Linked DNA regions of Kluyveromyces lactis. The protein of the gene in region 1 binds, or shares a complex with, the protein of each later gene. Links are inferred from orthologs where the notes say so. Each region holds a gene or a part of one and is shown in the gene's direction. Other genes may lie near its edges.

Evidence for each region. Proteins that work in one complex are often made in the same cells at the same time.
Region 2: ARP2 (region 1) and ARC19 share a complex: the UniProt entries of both Saccharomyces cerevisiae proteins name them as parts of the arp2/3 complex. The link is inferred for Kluyveromyces lactis from reciprocal best matches to the Saccharomyces cerevisiae genes ARP2 and ARC19.
Region 3: ARP2 (region 1) and ARC15 share a complex: the UniProt entries of both Saccharomyces cerevisiae proteins name them as parts of the arp2/3 complex. The link is inferred for Kluyveromyces lactis from reciprocal best matches to the Saccharomyces cerevisiae genes ARP2 and ARC15.

Annotation. Positions count from the first base shown.
Region 1 is NC_006039.1:349,682-356,486, reverse strand, and holds ARP2 (actin-related protein 2), read left to right. Parts: upstream 1-3,539; coding exon 3,540-4,715; downstream 4,716-6,805. Other genes in the region: APM4 (Apm4p), read left to right, coding at 171-1,598; MRX9 (Mrx9p), read left to right, coding at 1,972-3,102; serine/threonine/tyrosine protein kinase MPS1, read right to left, coding at 4,919-6,805. UniProt on the Saccharomyces cerevisiae protein: Functions as ATP-binding component of the Arp2/3 complex which is involved in regulation of actin polymerization and together with an activating nucleation-promoting factor (NPF) mediates the formation of branched actin networks.
Region 2 is NC_006041.1:1,623,520-1,628,460, reverse strand, and holds ARC19 (Arc19p), read left to right. Parts: upstream 1-1,866; coding exon 1,867-2,382; downstream 2,383-4,941. Other genes in the region: snoRNA-splicing protein PRP40, read right to left, coding at 1-1,368; DAL81 (Dal81p), read left to right, coding at 2,760-4,941. UniProt on the Saccharomyces cerevisiae protein: Functions as actin-binding component of the Arp2/3 complex which is involved in regulation of actin polymerization and together with an activating nucleation-promoting factor (NPF) mediates the formation of branched actin networks.
Region 3 is NC_006039.1:697,654-702,674, reverse strand, and holds ARC15 (Arc15p), read left to right. Parts: upstream 1-2,000; coding exon 2,001-2,462; downstream 2,463-5,021. Other genes in the region: ARG56 (bifunctional acetylglutamate kinase/N-acetyl-gamma-glutamyl-phosphate reductase), read left to right, coding at 1-1,654; YRB2 (Yrb2p), read left to right, coding at 2,768-3,808; EFM4 (Efm4p), read right to left, coding at 3,891-4,589; FIS1 (Fis1p), read left to right, coding at 4,920-5,021. UniProt on the Saccharomyces cerevisiae protein: Functions as a component of the Arp2/3 complex which is involved in regulation of actin polymerization and together with an activating nucleation-promoting factor (NPF) mediates the formation of branched actin networks.

The DNA of each region.
Region 1 (6,805 bases):
CAAAGGTTTGATAAATAGCACAACAATAATTTTGAACTATGTAGCGTATATTTCAGTAAAGGTTCCTTAAACTGTAACTTCAGGCACTTGAGGTACACAGGGCAGTGCAAAACTGAAACGGTGGTGTTCGTAACCTACAGTATAAAAATTATCGTTGACCAACACGCAGCATGCTTAGTGCTATATTTATATACAATGCAAAGGGTGATTTGTTGATCAGTAAATTGATCAAAGACCATGTTAAAAGATCACTGGCAGATGTGTTTAGAACCCAAGTCATCAATGATCCACATGTGAGGTCTCCTATATTGACATTGGGCTCAACGACATTTCAACATGTTATCAGAGAAAGTAGCGACAACTTGCCTATGTGGCTTGTAGCAGTATCCAGATCGAATGTGGATAGTTCAATGATCTGGGAATACCTACACAAGTTGTACCAATTAATGGAAGCATTCGGAATTAACGATGAAGACGTGTTAAAGGATGAATTTATGTTATTGTATGAGATTTTAGAACTGACGTTGGAGAACGGCATCCCACAAACAACGGACTTAGCTCAAATAATACCAAGAGTATCACGAAAACCAATAGAGAATAACACAATTAGCAAATCTCCCGATTTGGATGATTTCTTATCCGGATCTAACATTCTAAAGGCTCCAAAGCTTTCAAAGCGGTCCTCAAGTTCAATTGCCTTGTCTTCATTATCTGAATGCCCTTGGAGGCCAAGTGGGTTGAAATACAAGAAGAATGAGGTATATTTGGATATCAACGAAAAGATCACAATATTGGTAGGTAAAGATGGGTCAATTGTGAAATCATTTGTTGATGGATCCGTGGATTGTGTATCACATCTATCAGGTATGCCTCTATGCCAACTAGGGTTGAATGACACATATTCGATTCATGGAAACGAAAAGTCAGAATTGTCCATTGTTGAAATGATGTCCGAGTACGATATTAAGAATAAGAAAGCTATACCGAATGCGGCTGCAGGCTCTGTAATATTAGAAGATTGTAAATTCCATCAATGTGTCCAACTTAATAAGTACGAGGCCAACCACGTTATTCAATTCGTTCCTCCTGACGGGCCATTCCAATTGATGCAATACCGTGTCATTGATAACATTAATATCCCATTCAACGTCATACCGGAGGTAGAAATCGTGAAGAACTCTACACTCAATTACAAGGTAACGTTAAGATCACTTTTCCCATCCAATGTCTCTGCCAAAGATGTAACAGTTAAAATACCTGTGCCCCCAACCACGATTAAATGCGATTTTAACGTCTCTGGAGGAAAATGTAAGTACGATGCCGGAGAAAAATGCATGGTATGGAAATACAACAAATACAAAGGATCTACAGAAAATACTCTGAGCGGTAAGGTGGCAATCCCTGCTACTTCCCACGATCTATCTGATTTGTTAAGATGGTCAAGACCGCCAATATCAATGGGCTTCGAAATTGTAATGTTTAGTAATTCCGGACTTGTGGTGAGACACTTGAAATGTCAAGAACCACAATTGAATTATCAACCGGTGAAATGGATTAAATATATCTCACATTCAGGAGCATACGAGATAAGATATTAGTCCACTGAGTGGGATGACTTGTCCCTATAATGGTGTCTTCATATTAATGTGCAACGAATTGGTTTACAAAAGTTTACCCGGATATGTATATATTATTCATGTTTTTCCTATTTAAACAATGTAGTAATAATATTCCAAAAGTTTAAAGGAACAGAAAGCAGATTATAAGTCATCCTGCGATCTTAGTATGGGGTTTGCGATGATATAGACAATTTGGCCTTTGAAATTCCTATAAAATTCCTTTGTAAATTAAGAAGCTTCATAGATTTCAAGACTATGAAGACATTTTGCATTACCAGAAGTAATCGCTTATTGGTATAAATCTGAGAAAATACAATTCCGCACATCAGACATTGTGATATTCTTCTGTGAGATGCTTCCCCTAAATCGATTTCAATTGTGCGTTAAATCACAGATTGGGCTGCGACCATTTCAATCCTTGACAAAGTTAAAAGCATACAGTCCTGCTAGTCATGGATGTGTCAAGACGGGTCAGTTTGTGAATTTGGTGCCACGGTTCCCACTCCTGGCAGCTTTGAATCCCCGGATGAATCTTTTACATTATAACCAGAATATTTTGGTCTCTCCTGTGAAGATGGCGCTTCGAAATTTCCATTCTACGCCGAGAAACATGGTACTTGGTGGACGGGATCCTTTCAGAAAAAGTCCCTTTAACAATCCCAGATTTATCTTTTCAATCAGCCCTTTTTCCTTTATTCTTTCCACGTTACTGTTCGCTGGATTCATAACAATGATAGTATTTGTTTTGCCTTTCTTACTTGCTTTGCTTTTCCCGATGGTGATATTTGGAATAGGGTGGTATCAATTCAAAGCTTTTAGAACCAGGAAACTTATGCAGCTTTTGGATCATGCTTTCAATCAAACTAAGATGAAGCTTTCATCCACCACAAGGAGAGAATTGATAATGAAGCAAATGGTCCCAAAATTCAAGTCATTTACCCAGCTAAAGGACTTCAGCGGATTCCCCTTCAAGCTCTCTCAAGCATTTACAGATAAGTTTCAATCGGGAGAATTTCCCAACGCAGACAGATTTCTTTCCTTTGTGAAATCGAGATTAGATGAGAGTTTCTATAAAAACGAACACAACATCAAATCCATAGTTTTAGGAAGTGATACAGCTTATGTTCCAGGACACATGGAGTTAGTAACAAACTCGTACTCTTTTGTTTCCAGCGTCAGAAATAACGAAAACATCCAAGCTTTTTCATTTATGCTATTGAACATGGGTTCTGAGGGAGTCCGTAAACCAGTTGCATTGGTTTACATCGTTACAAAGGCAAACCCAGGGGACGAATTGTTGATGTTCACTGGTGACTACATTGATGATTCTAAGTTATCCCCGATGGTCATCTATGTACGTGCTCTCAGCCCATTTTCGAAATGTTGCTTCATTACAGACGTCGGAGAAACTGGAGCAAATGCACAATATAGTGTAAAACGAAAAAAGGACGGCAGTAAAGAATACACGTACGAAAGTGATTAAAAGAACTAACGCCCTCACCTAGGTACTGACATGACATTATTAAGAATCATCACTTCACAAAATCTATTTAAGTTGACACAAACCGTCACAATTTATACATATTCATCAATGAAATAAAAAAGATCATATAACACATATCCAAGCAAACTATAAGATTCATTTGAACCATATGAAAACATGCTTTACATGTAAATCCAACGATTTAGCGGCTATCTTGTGACGTGCCAATAGCTTTATACCTCCTGGATAAATTCTATATGGACAAACATGATCACATGATTTACGTGAAAAACGACATCAACAACATTGGGAAATAGGAGATGTTCTTAAAGAAAGAGAGGAAATAAAGGTTTATTTCATCAGATTTAATAGTGGAACTGGGGTAATTAAATCAAACGGACATTTGTGAGCATCTTCAACCCATTAATAAAGCGAAAATGGACCCACATACTCCAATTGTTCTTGATCAGGGTACTGGTTTCGTGAAAATTGGCCGTGCTGGTGAGAACTTCCCAGATTACACCTTCCCATCCATCGTAGGTAGACCGATTCTTAGAGCTGAAGAAAGAGGTCATGCTTCTACCCCATTGAAAGATATCATGATTGGTGATGAAGCAAGTGAAGTTCGTTCATATTTACAGATTTCGTACCCAATGGAAAATGGTATCATCAGAAACTGGGCAGATATGGAATTACTATGGGATTATGCTTTCTTTGAGCAGATGAAATTGCCAACTACATCCGGCGGTAAGGTACTACTTACCGAACCACCAATGAACCCCATTAAAAACAGAGAACAAATGTGTGAAGTTATGTTCGAGAAGTATGATTTTGGTGGCACATACGTTGCAATTCAAGCCGTTCTAGCTCTATATGCTCAAGGTTTGTCGTCGGGTGTCGTTGTTGATTCCGGTGATGGTGTTACTCACATTGTTCCTGTTTATGAATCCGTTGTTTTGAATCATTTGACAAGAAGGTTAGACGTTGCTGGGAGAGATGTAACCAGACACTTAATTGACCTTTTGTCTCGCCGCGGTTATGCATTCAACAGAACTGCCGATTTCGAAACTGTTCGTCAAATTAAAGAAAAGCTTTGTTATGTATCTTATGATCTAGACTTGGACACAAAATTAGCAAGAGAGACGACTACTCTAGTGGAATCTTATGAATTACCCGATGGGAGAGTCATCAAGGTTGGACCGGAAAGATTCGAGGCACCAGAGTGTTTATTCCAACCAAGTTTAGTTGATGTCGAACAACCAGGTGTGGGTGAACTTTTATTCAACACAATACAAGCAGCAGATGTGGATATCAGAACATCACTTTATAAAGCTATCGTCTTGTCTGGTGGTTCATCCATGTACCCAGGTTTACCTTCAAGGTTGGAAAAAGAACTAAAACAACTATGGTTTACAAGGGTTCTACGCAATGATCCCACACGTTTGGATAAATTCAAGGTCAGAATTGAGGACCCACCAAGAAGAAAGCATATGGTGTTCATTGGTGGTGCCGTCTTAGCGAACATTATGGCCGATAAAGACCACATGTGGTTATCGAAGCAAGAATGGCATGAAATAGGTCCTGCTGCAATGTCAAAGTTTGGACCAAGATAAATGAATGATTAAAACTCTTATATAATAGTACATTTGTATTACGTAGGTAAACTTATTAATGCACCCATAGGTTCATTTGCTGGCTTCTTATGGGAGCACAGCATTCATATGTTGCTTCTTTATTCAATGCAGGAAAAAAAGCCATAAAGACGGCATGTCAGAAGTGCTTTATCCCAGTACTGCCCTCAGTGCAATAGATTAATCTATAATTTAAATTCAGCTAGTTTGTTCCAAACATCTTCAGATAATTCTTCCACACGCTCATTATTGACATGTTTTTGATCGCAACCATAGTTTACTGCATTTTTTATCAAATCATGTATGAAGAATTTTGTTACGGTGACAGGATTAATTAATGCACCACTTAATAGCTGGTCAATTGTAACACGAGATATGGGATTTCTTTCCAAACATGATCTTATAGTGTCAATAACAGTTCTTGGTATCACTGTACCGAAAGAGTCTTTTTCAGGATAAGGAATCTTAACATCAGGATTCATGATCGCATATAACCTATTGTTTCCCTGGAACGTACCATAAGGCGGTTTTCCGTACACCATTTGGTAGAGGATACATCCACAGGACCAAACATCTGATGGTTTACCCACTTTCCATTTGGCTTGTTCACCATCATTCCTTGTGAAGTTCATTGCAACCAAAGTCTCGGGAGCCATATAATTGGGAGTTCCGATCTGGTTGTCTCGATAAATATTTACAGTGTGATCGGGAACCGCATTCGCAATCCCAAAATCAATTATCTTTAACATTCCCTTGACGAAAACAAAATTTGCGGGTTTCAAATCAGAATGGACAATATCAGCATCGTGAACCACCTTCACACATTTTATCATTTCTTGAAAGTGATATCTGACAAATTCCGTATCAAATGGTATTTTGGATCTCTGAGTCAATACTTGGGATAGATCATGTTCACCACATTCCATTAGGAGAAATAAGACACCTTGTCCCATATGATAGTCAATTAACTTAACAACTCGCTGCTTGTTTTCTAGTTTCTTTAGAAGCTCTATTTCCCCTTTGAAGCCATCAATACTGGACTCATCAAATTCATCGAAAGACACGCGTTTCAACGCGTATACCTTGTGATCAGAAGATTTCACTTTGTAAACTTTACCCGATCCACCTTTGCCGAGTAGTTCCACCTTTTCATATGCGGTACCGTTCACTGTGATCGTTGGAACAGCATACGAGGTTCTCTTCTTTGTATCAAAGGAGCCATTATAGTTCAGATAATTATCCCCCTTGTTCAGTTTTGATGAAACATCGCAACCCTCGGACTTCAAAGGAATAACTTCAACAGTGGATTTCGGAGGTTCCACTATCTCGACCTTTTTAAAGGGTTTCGAATCATGTGGCGATGGTGCCTTCCTATGGGAGAAAAAAGGAGGTCGATAATCCTCGGGTACATGATCATTTTCGTACTTTGGTCGCTTAGCTTCTTGACTGCTAGATGGATTATTGACATCTAATGGTTTCAGCGCTTCGCGTTTGTTAGCTAGTTCACGATCTACCTCCTGGAATACCAGCTGATTTTTCTGCAATGGAGAAGAAAGCGGATCCTGTAACGACGTTTTATCTGTGCCAAAGTTGTGTTTTCTCCGTGGTTGCCGAGCTGTTTGAGTTCTCCTATATTGAGTGAATTCCCTCTTTAACGCCAGCGTTCCAGAGGTGGCCTTTCTCAACACGGTTTTTCTATTCTCTTCCTTTTGCCTTTCAAAATATACTTTCGAGATGTACGGAAGCTCACCACTGGGAAGATTATACTTCTTTAGGTACTGGTATGGGTTGAGATCACCAAAATCTATATTCTCATAGTTGATGTTAGGTTGCAGATTGGCGGAAGGGTCCTTGTTCTCATCGTGGCTGGGTGTTGAATGTTGTCTGTGAGTCTCTAGAAAAATGTTATGGTCATGGTACCTGTAACCTGTATTAGAACTATTAGAGGTATGCGAATTTTCAATATCTTGCTGGGAAATGTTAGATGTATCATTTATTATGCTACTGTTGATTTGACTATTATCAACCCTGGATTCACTAGGGGAATCCACATTGAAACTTGTAGAAAGGTT
Region 2 (4,941 bases), on another chromosome or scaffold:
ATTATGCTGTAGCAAGTTTCGAATCTCATCGGAAGAATTGTGATCAAAATCTAAACCCTTTGAGATAATTACTTGATTCGCTACCGAACATTTGGCTTTCAAAACTAGTTCGGCTTCATCAACTCTATCAAGAAATAAATCCAATGCCGATGATCCGTCTCTTCCAAGCAAGTTCGTAAATCTCCTATCACTTTTCAACAATGGATATATATCTTTCCATGTACTGTTACATTTAATGTATGGTGATAATTCGTCGAGAAGAGCTTTGTATTGGTCTCTTGCCCTTCTATCTGATCTGAAATTCTTAGAACGCAAACCTTCCATTTCCGTTTTGAGTTCAGCCATCTTTGACTCAACAAAGGTAATGTAAATTTTGAAAACATCACTCCTTGTAATTGATACGAAGTTCTTATTTGAATCGAATCTTGGTGATCCCCATAGATATTTTGTAGCGAATTTGCTCCATGGTAAGTTGCTGGGGTCAATATCATCGGATATGCTAACAAAATACAGATTCAATTCTTTTAATGCCTCGTTTCTAACTTTGGTATGCTGTGCTTCGTGTTCATGCTGTAATGAAGATATGTACCTTTGGAACGTACGCTTTTTCTGTTTCTCATCAATGACAGAATGCTTGTAAATAGGTTCATTCATTATCTGCCTCTTGATAGTTTTCCAACGCGAATAGTAACGAATGTTGGGCAATTTCTCAAGCATTTCTATAAAGGCCTGTTCGAATTTTTCCAAATGTTGATGCTCTTTAATCAACTCCGATTCTGTTCTGTTCGACAAGAACTTGTCAAACATTGATTGTTTCCACAATGGGTCATCATCTATGATCCAATAATGCGGATCTTTGTTCCCAATTTCGCGAATAATCCTATTGAACGACCATGTAGAATCCACTTCGTTATCTTGTAACATTTGCAAAAACACCTTCTCGGCTTCTTCCTTTGATGGAGCCTTTCGTACAACCAAAAGTTCTGATTCGTTTTTGTATTTGTTCTCGCTATCTTTCAAGATTTTTTGTACATCTACATCTTTTCCACTTTCTACCTGTGTAGAGTTGGTGTCAGCTGCCGATGCAGTATCCGGTTGCCCAGCTTTGCCAGACGATTTGGTTGGTATACTTCTCTCATCACGGTTATCATCGTTCTCAAAAACCGGCACGTTCCACGTAGTCTCTCCTGTGTCTGACTTGTAATAATAAACCCTACCATCCTCTGCAAGAGCAGTTTTCCAACCATATTTCAGCAGCTTCCTTTCAAACTCGGTGAATAGCTCTTCTGGTTTTTCCCAAGTGGTCTGTCCTGTATCATTATAATAATAGACTCTTCCTTGAGGATCTTTGGTCTCTTGCCAGGACATTTGAAATTAAAATGTTTCTGGCTGGAGAATTGCTATCTAGACACTTGGATAACTGATGGTCGTCTCATCCCCTCATCCCATCGCTAACACAGTTTAAATCATTTGGATTGAGATTTCAATTCATAATATTAGATCATAAACCTTGTTACCCTGATTGTATTAAGCTGTGGTAAGAATGCTATAACGTGGGATCAATGCCTCCATCAGACCTGAAACTTAGGACAAAATAAGCCTGATGATTCCCTTCCATCATTTCCACAGTTTTTGGCATCCAATGGCCTCATTTGACCCAGCAATTTCTAGTTTTCCGTGTCTTCTTTCTTACATTGGTCCAGTTAATGTGCTGAAATTTCATTCAGAATTAATTCTTTTGACCCTATTTGAACCAAATCACAACCGATAACGTTGAATAAAGACAGGTTTGCAACCCCATCTTTTGGCCATTGTCACCGTAAAAGCTGCAGTTCTCCAACCCATCAGTTAATAAGTGAAGGAAAAATGTCTCAATCGCTACGTCCATACTTAACAGCAGTGCGTTACTCATTGCAAGCTGCTTTGAATCTATCAAACTTCTCCTCTCAAGAAGTGGAAAGACACAACAGACCTGAGGTCGAAGTGGACAATACAAGTGCAGAACTTCTATTACAACCTATGCATATCGCACGTAATGAACACGAACAAGTTCTAATCGAACCAAGTGTCAACTCCGTCCGTATGAGTATTAAAGTGAAACAAGCAGATGAGATTGAACAAATTTTGGTACACAAATTCACCAGTTTCCTCGAACAAAGAGCAGAGAATTTTTACGTGCTAAGACGTGTCCCAGTGCCTGGGTATAGTATCTCTTTCTTGATCACAAATAAACACACCGAGACTATGATTACCGAGAAATTGATCGAATTCATCATCGACTTCATGGAAGAGGTCGACAAAGAAATCTCTGAAATGAAATTGTTCTTGAACGCCAGAGCTAGATTCGCAGCAGAAGCGTACTTGGAACAATTCGTCTACTAGATTGCCAACTCTCGTGGATATATAGATGTATAGTCCATGTATAGTTAAACAAAGTATTATGATCACGTGAACCGTTCCTAGTTCCATTGGTTTGTTACCCGGCTATATGAGATTTTTCGAAACCAACAAAGAAGGTTAATAAATGGAAACGTACTGAGGAAAAGATAAACGTTTGTTTGTTGATAACGCATCGGACGGTGATTTAGGGACCTTGGACGCGTATTTGGCTGCTTCAAGTGACTAGATTCGGTAGTTTTAGGGTGCAAGTCTCTTGTACTGAAGGATTTTGTGGTGTAAAGCGTTTGAGATAGAGTCTGTCTTTACTATTCTCTTTGCTTTTGTATATCAAGGTTTCGACAGGTTTATCAAAGAGCGCGATGAGTGGAAGCGCAGCATCCGTTAATGGTGGTGACTCTCTCTGGAAGGCCGATTCTTCTGAAGATGTGGATTCTGGTACAGGGAACCCTGAGGACGCTGGGAACAGTATTAGAACTGGTAAGGAGACCACTTCAGTTGAAGCAGGTTCGGCGTCTGCGTCGAGCTCTCCAAGAAACATTAACTTGAAGAATAAGGTTTCGGGTACCAATACTACTAGTGGTAATGGCGGTAACTTAAATGCTGTAGTTGATAATGGCGATGATGATAATGATAATGCGCGTGAAGAGAATGAAGAACGTGATAATATTGGTGGGTTTAAAAATCATAATAACTCCATGTTGAATTTCAATGATGATTATACGAGTATTCTGAATAATCTGACTAACGGTAATAATAGTAGTCCGGATAAAATACAGTCTCAGCCACAGCAGCAAGATAAGAGTTCTTCAGGGATGGACAAAGGGTCGTTGGATATGTTATTGCAACATTATCAAGAATTATTGAACAGATCTAACAGCTCAGCGAATTCTCCACAGTTTGTCCCATCAAGCGGTACAAATGGTGCACCATCTCCTAACGTTTCTGTAAGGACACAAAATACGCTAACAGAGAAGCCATGTGATCATTGTAGGAGGAGACGCACGAAATGTATCGTTCCCCCTGAATCCGACAGTTGTGTTCCATGTGATACGAAGGGGATCAAGTGTACATTCTCGGAGTTACCGAGTGGGAAAGTGGCGGCGGATGTGCTACAAAAACAGATGAACAAACGTGATAGAGTGGATGAGAACATAAATGTGCATGAATTGTTGAAACGTACTAAGTTTAGCAATAATAATCAAAATAAAAACAGTAACACAAATATTAATAACAGTAACCCTAATAGTAATAATAATAACAATAATATCAACAATAATATTAACAACGCCGGTGGTAATAATAGCAACAGTAACACGCCTAATAATGAGCTTACCAGTGATAGCGCTAACAATCTGCCGATACAATACTACAATGACGCAATTCAGAATTGGTACAAATCTCAGACAAGTTATGAACAACCTCCATATCCCTATCAAAGGAATGCGTCAGAGTTCAACAACGGTGCAGCACAAAAGGCATCCCCCTCGTCACTTTATGCTTTCAATCAGTTCAATTACGGAATGAACTCAGGTCAACCACAACAGCAGCAACCGCTAACTTCTGGTCAACAGAGCATACAACGTCAAATTAATTATGCTCAGTCTTCCATTCAATATCCCAGGTCTTCCTATTTTGTGGGCCCGACATCCATCTTCGATATTAATCTAATCAATCACATGAAACTAGACAAGATTGAGCAAGTGCAATTATCAAAAAATGTCGCACTACGCAAGGTATCTCCCAATGCACAGTTCATCTTAAGAGACGATTTTAATCAAGAACTTTACTTGAAGCAAGAACGTGATATAGATTTAGTGGAAAAACTAGTGCATCCTCATGGTAAAATATTGGTTGAAATTTTCTTTAAACTGATTCATCCTTACTTTCCCATTCTACACGAACGAGTATTTTTGGAGAAGTACTCAAGATCTTATCGTGAACTCACGGCGCCAATTCTTGCATCCATTTATTCCCTAGCTTTACAATGGTGGGATTTCCACCCGCAATTGATTGGTTTTCCTAAACCAGATGTTGCGAATCAATTGAATGATATTGCATTAAAAACTTTCTACGAGGTGTTTGAAAGACCCAAATTAAGCATTGTCCAAGCAGGTTTACTAATTTTGCATTGTCGTAGTGAATGTCCCAACAATTGGGTACTATGTTCGGAAGTTGTTGCTTTGTCAGAGGAACTTGGCCTCGGTGTTGATTGTCAAGACTGGAGATTACCTCGCTGGGAACGTGGACTACGAAGGCGATTAGCATGGGCCGTCTGGGCTCAAGATAAATGGACAGCCCTTCTGGAATCTAGGAATTCGCATCTAATTTTAGGTCGGAACTGGATGGTTAAGCTTCTTACAGAAGACGACTTCCCTGATAAATCGCCAATAATAACCAGTAGTCAACGCAATAAACAACCGTCGCATAGGCCTCTAGGTCCCATTGGGAACTCTTCCATACTTGACATTTCACCAACTGATGAAGACTTCAATAGTGGAAAACTACTGTTCAGACAAATGGTGTCCTTAAGCATTATTTTGG
Region 3 (5,021 bases), about 350 kb from region 1:
GGACTTCTTGCCAAGATCTTCGTCCGTGGCCATCATCAATGTTCAAGATTTGCAAAAAGAATTGTTCACCGATTCTGGTGCAGGTACTTTGATTAGAAGAGGCTACAAGTTAATTCGAAGATCTACTTTACAGGAATTCCCATCCTCTGACGCTTTGAGAGATATCTTACAAAGTGACCCAGACATCCAATCCGGTGCTCAATCAGTTGCTTCTTATTTGAGAGACTTGAACGAATCAGATTTCACTTCTTACGCTGATGAACCACTAGATGTTCTTGCCATTGTCAAGAAAGATTCTGTGGTGGCAAAACTAGATAAATTCCTATGTTCCCAGACCGGCTGGTTGAATAACGTCACCGATAACGTTTTCAAAGCTTTGAAACGTGACTTCCCTGCCCTACAATGGGTGATCAATGAAGATGATGCGAACATCGCTTGGCATTTCAACAAATCTGATGGTTCCTATTTGAAGAACGGTAAGGTTCTATTCTGGTATGGTGTCAAAGATTTGAACACTGTATCCGAATTAATATCCGAGTTCATTAAGACCTCCCCTGAAAGCGGTACCGCTCCATCCTTCTCTGGTTCCTCCAGTGGTGTATTTTCCAGTGGTCAATCATCCAGATCTTACTCCACTAGGGCCAGATCTGCTCCTAAAGTAGAAGGCACTAACAAGAGCCCTGCTAAAGTTGCTTTGATTGGTGCCAGAGGTTACACAGGTCAAAATCTTATTTCATTGATAGACTCACATCCATTTTTGGAATTATCTCACGTCTCCTCTCGTCAAAACGCTGGTAAGAAGTTGGAAGGATATAACAAGTCTGAGATTATTTATTCGAATCTACAAATTGATGACATAAAGAAACTAGAAAGTGAAGGTGCTGTCGATGTGTGGGTCATGGCGTTGCCAAACAAAGTGTGCGAACCATTCGTTGAGGCCATTGAGTCGGTTGCCAACGGTAAATCCAAAATTGTCGATCTATCCGCTGATCATAGATTTGTCCCGGAGACGGAATGGAGCTACGGATTACCAGAGTTAAACAACAGAGAAGCAATTGCCAATGCTAAAAAGATTGCTAACCCCGGTTGTTACGCCACCGGTGCCCAAGTAGCGATTGCTCCTCTATCGGAATACATCACAGGATTACCCACAGTCTTTGGTGTTTCTGGTTATTCTGGTGCTGGTACTACACCATCTCCAAAGAATGATCCAAAATTCTTGAACAACAATCTAATTCCTTACTCCTTAACAAACCATATCCATGAGCGTGAAATTTCAACTCGTTTGGGTTTGGAAGTCGCATTTGTTCCTCATGTTGCCCAATGGTTCCAAGGTATTTCTCATACTATTTCTATTCCTATTAAGAAGAACTCACTATCTTCAGAACAAATTAAGGCCTTGTACACCGAATTCTACGCTAACGAAAAGTTGGTACATGTTGCCGATGATATTCCGTTAGTTAAGGACGTTTCTGGTACTCACGGAGTAGTTGTTGGTGGTTTCAAGGTAAATGATGCAAAAGACCGTGTCGTAGTCTGTGCTACTATTGACAACTTATTGAAGGGTGCTGCCACTCAATGCTTACAGAACATCAACCTGGCCTTGAGTTACGGTGAATACGACGGTATTCCAGACAATAAGATTATTCAATAAACGGAACCACCAAAGAATAACCCGTATATCTATATCAATTTGAACTTAGTTAATATATATGTATAAGAAGATAATGTTATCATCTGCTTATCGTTCTTCCTGTCAGTGATAAACAGTCAATCGGTCCAGTGCTGTAAACCATAGTTACCCTGTTTCCAGATTTATTACCCGGATATCTCCTATAAGTTACTATTGAATGGGATTCATATTGAATGGAAACCTTTAAATGGATTAGGTTAAAATACTCGAAATAACTGCAGGCCGGTCTACTTCTTTTATCAGGAAGCATTAGCGCTGAATTATCCTTATCGTATTCATCCAAGCAGCTGCCTTCTGAACTAGTAATATGGAAGACTGGAGAAGAATTGATATCGATGCTTACGATCCTGAAAGTGGGAGATTAACGGCGGATGATTTGAAACCACCATATTCACATACCGTGAGTTTACAAGAGTTACAGCCAACCATTCAACAGTTACGTTCTTACACATCATCTGGTGATTTTGCAGCTGCTGTTGAGCTATTCACAACTGATCCTCCATACAACGCCGACGAACAAGCGAAATCACAATATTTCTCTGGTATATTGGAGGTGCTAACCCAAGTGAGACAAGTGGATATTGCTAATATAGTTAAGCGCTTGGATCGCAAGCAACAAGACGCATTGATAAAATACCTATACAAGGGTATGTCTATACCTGAGGGTCAAAAGCATGGGGGTATCCTTCTCGCATGGTTCGAAAAGTTAACGCAAGTTGCGGGTGTCAATCCAATCGTTCACTATCTCTCGGATAGAAGAACTGTATAAAGAACTATATAACAGTACGATTTTACTTAATTTAGTATGATATATTTACTCTAACGTATATGATCCAGTTTCACCTACCAATGGGCGATCATTACGGATCTTTGTTTGTTTGGCCTTTGTTCACATGGAGTGCAGGCCCTTTATTAAGTATTACTGGGACCTCTCAGAGTTAGTATTTCCAAAAAAAAAAAAAAGAGAAAGTACTAGTTTTAAACATTCAGTTCTTATTGAAAGCACAGACATATGCCAAGAAAGGGTTATAATATTGTCAAGAAGGCTCCAGTATATTGTTCCTGCTTTTCACAATGCCAGAAACTTTAAACGATAGCAATAAACGTGCGCTTCCTGAGGTGAATTCGGAATTAGAAAGCACAGAAACTCCTGTGAAGAAGGTCAAACTCAATGATAAAGATGAAGCAAAACCTTCAGAAGAGACTGATAAGTTCATAACAGAGAATGATACAGCAAATGAAGAGGCCAATTCCGTAGAGAGACCTAAAAATATTGAAACTGCTGAGACAACGGAAACAGCGGTAACAAAAGAAGAAGATACAAATAATAAAAAAGAAGAAGAGGCCAAGGAAAAAGATGAGGGCGCCAAGGCAGAGATAGAAGGGAAGAAAACAGAACCTAAACCAGAAAAAGACGTGGAAAAACCATCGTTCACATTTGGCCAATCTTCAAGTTTTGTTTCTGGCTTTGGAGTGGCAACTAAACCATTTGGAGCAGCCAATGCTTTTTCTGCTGGTTTACCTGCGGCTAAAACCACTGAGAAAGATGGAAATAAGGACACCGTCAAGGTTGAACCAGGTTTCTCGTTCGGATCTGGTCTATCATTTGGTGCTGGATTCAAAGCTGCAAAAGTAGCCTCCAAAGATAGTGTTGCAAAAGACAAGCAAACAGTCGAATCAGAAAAAAAGGAAAGTACTCCAGCCCAATCAAGAGAGCCAACAGTAAAATTAACGAAACAAGACGTCAAATCGGGCGAAGAGACAGAAGAATCGATCTTCCAAACAAATGCCAAGCTGTATCAGCTTACCGATATAAAGGATGGTTGGAAGGAAAGAGGAATTGGTGTTCTACATTTAAATAAAGATGAAGTTTCAGAAAAGTCGAGAATAGTAATGAGATCCCGTGGGTTATTGAAAGTAATATTGAATCTACCGCTTGTAAAAGGATTTTCTATTAAAAAAGGGTTCCCAGGTTCTCTGAACGGAGAAAAGTTCGTCAGAATATTAGCAGTTGATGAGAACAAGAATCCTGTCCAGTATGCCTTAAGGACAGGAAAAGCTGAAATAGCAGATGAGTTATATGAGAAAGTAAATGCTCATATCCTGGAGAATTGAATTGGACATATTACTTCTGATTCAAACAGACTTTGTAAAATTGACACTACTTAAAACCTTTTGAATAATACCTTAATTAAGATTATTTAGCAGAAGATTTGAGAAAGGCAACGCTGCATATTGTAGTTCCTTTGACACCACCGAACTCAAATATTGGATAGTTTACCGATTTCCATTTTTTCAACGTCTCTGTTTCAATAATCTTTATGAGTTCCTCTTCTGTAAAATTGCATGATGTAATCAACAGAATACTGTTTTCGCCTAATATCTTCTCTATCACTTTCGGATAGACATCTACCACGGTTTCATTGTTTTCAAATTTTATACCGCTTAATGCGATGGCATCTAGTGTACCTTTATCTAGAACGACATCGAATTTACCTGGGGCCCATTGTTCATTGAATATATCTGCCGTAGCAAAAGTTACGTTATCATTTTGGCTGTATTTAGTCTTGAGAATCTCAGCAGCAAACTCGACTGATTTTTCAGAGTAATCTACACCGATCATTTCACCTTTGAAACCTTCCTCCAATAGAGTGAACAAAAGATGACCATTTCCAGTTCCGAGATCAATCATTGAGCTGTCTTCTTTGATATTGTATTCGCCCAAGTTATCTAGTAGAAATTCGACCATTTTCTCCTCTGCATCGTTATCAGCGAACCAGCATTCTCCAGTATCCTCAGGGTTCTCCTCGAAGTTTTGTTTCTCTAATGAGTAGAAATCGTCCCAGTATTCCTTAGTTCCCAACTTAGAAGTATTCAATTTTGTTGTATCTTCCATGTTTCTAGTGTAAGTTTTCTGGACAAAAATGAACCAACGGATAAATTACCGCAATTATCAGTGTTGATATTTGGAACGGAACTTCAATTGCTGATCTTATTGCGATGCCTCTGTACCAATTCTCAGAGATGACTTTCTGTATATATTTGTATATAATCAAAACGTTTTCGAGATGTCTAGCGGACGTAAGAAAAATAAATTGAAAAGTTAAAACTGATAATTTGACATTGAATTTGAAACAATATCATTAACAACATCTGAAACGATCGAAGGTAGCAGTTATTTCTTTATCTTGAAATCACTCGCACAAGCTCAAAAAAATACTGCGGTATGACTAACATCCACTACCTTCCTGAATTGGAGGATTCATATTCTGCATTAAACAGCGATCAAATCGAAATTTTAAGGCAACAGGTGCTCAATGAAGGGGGC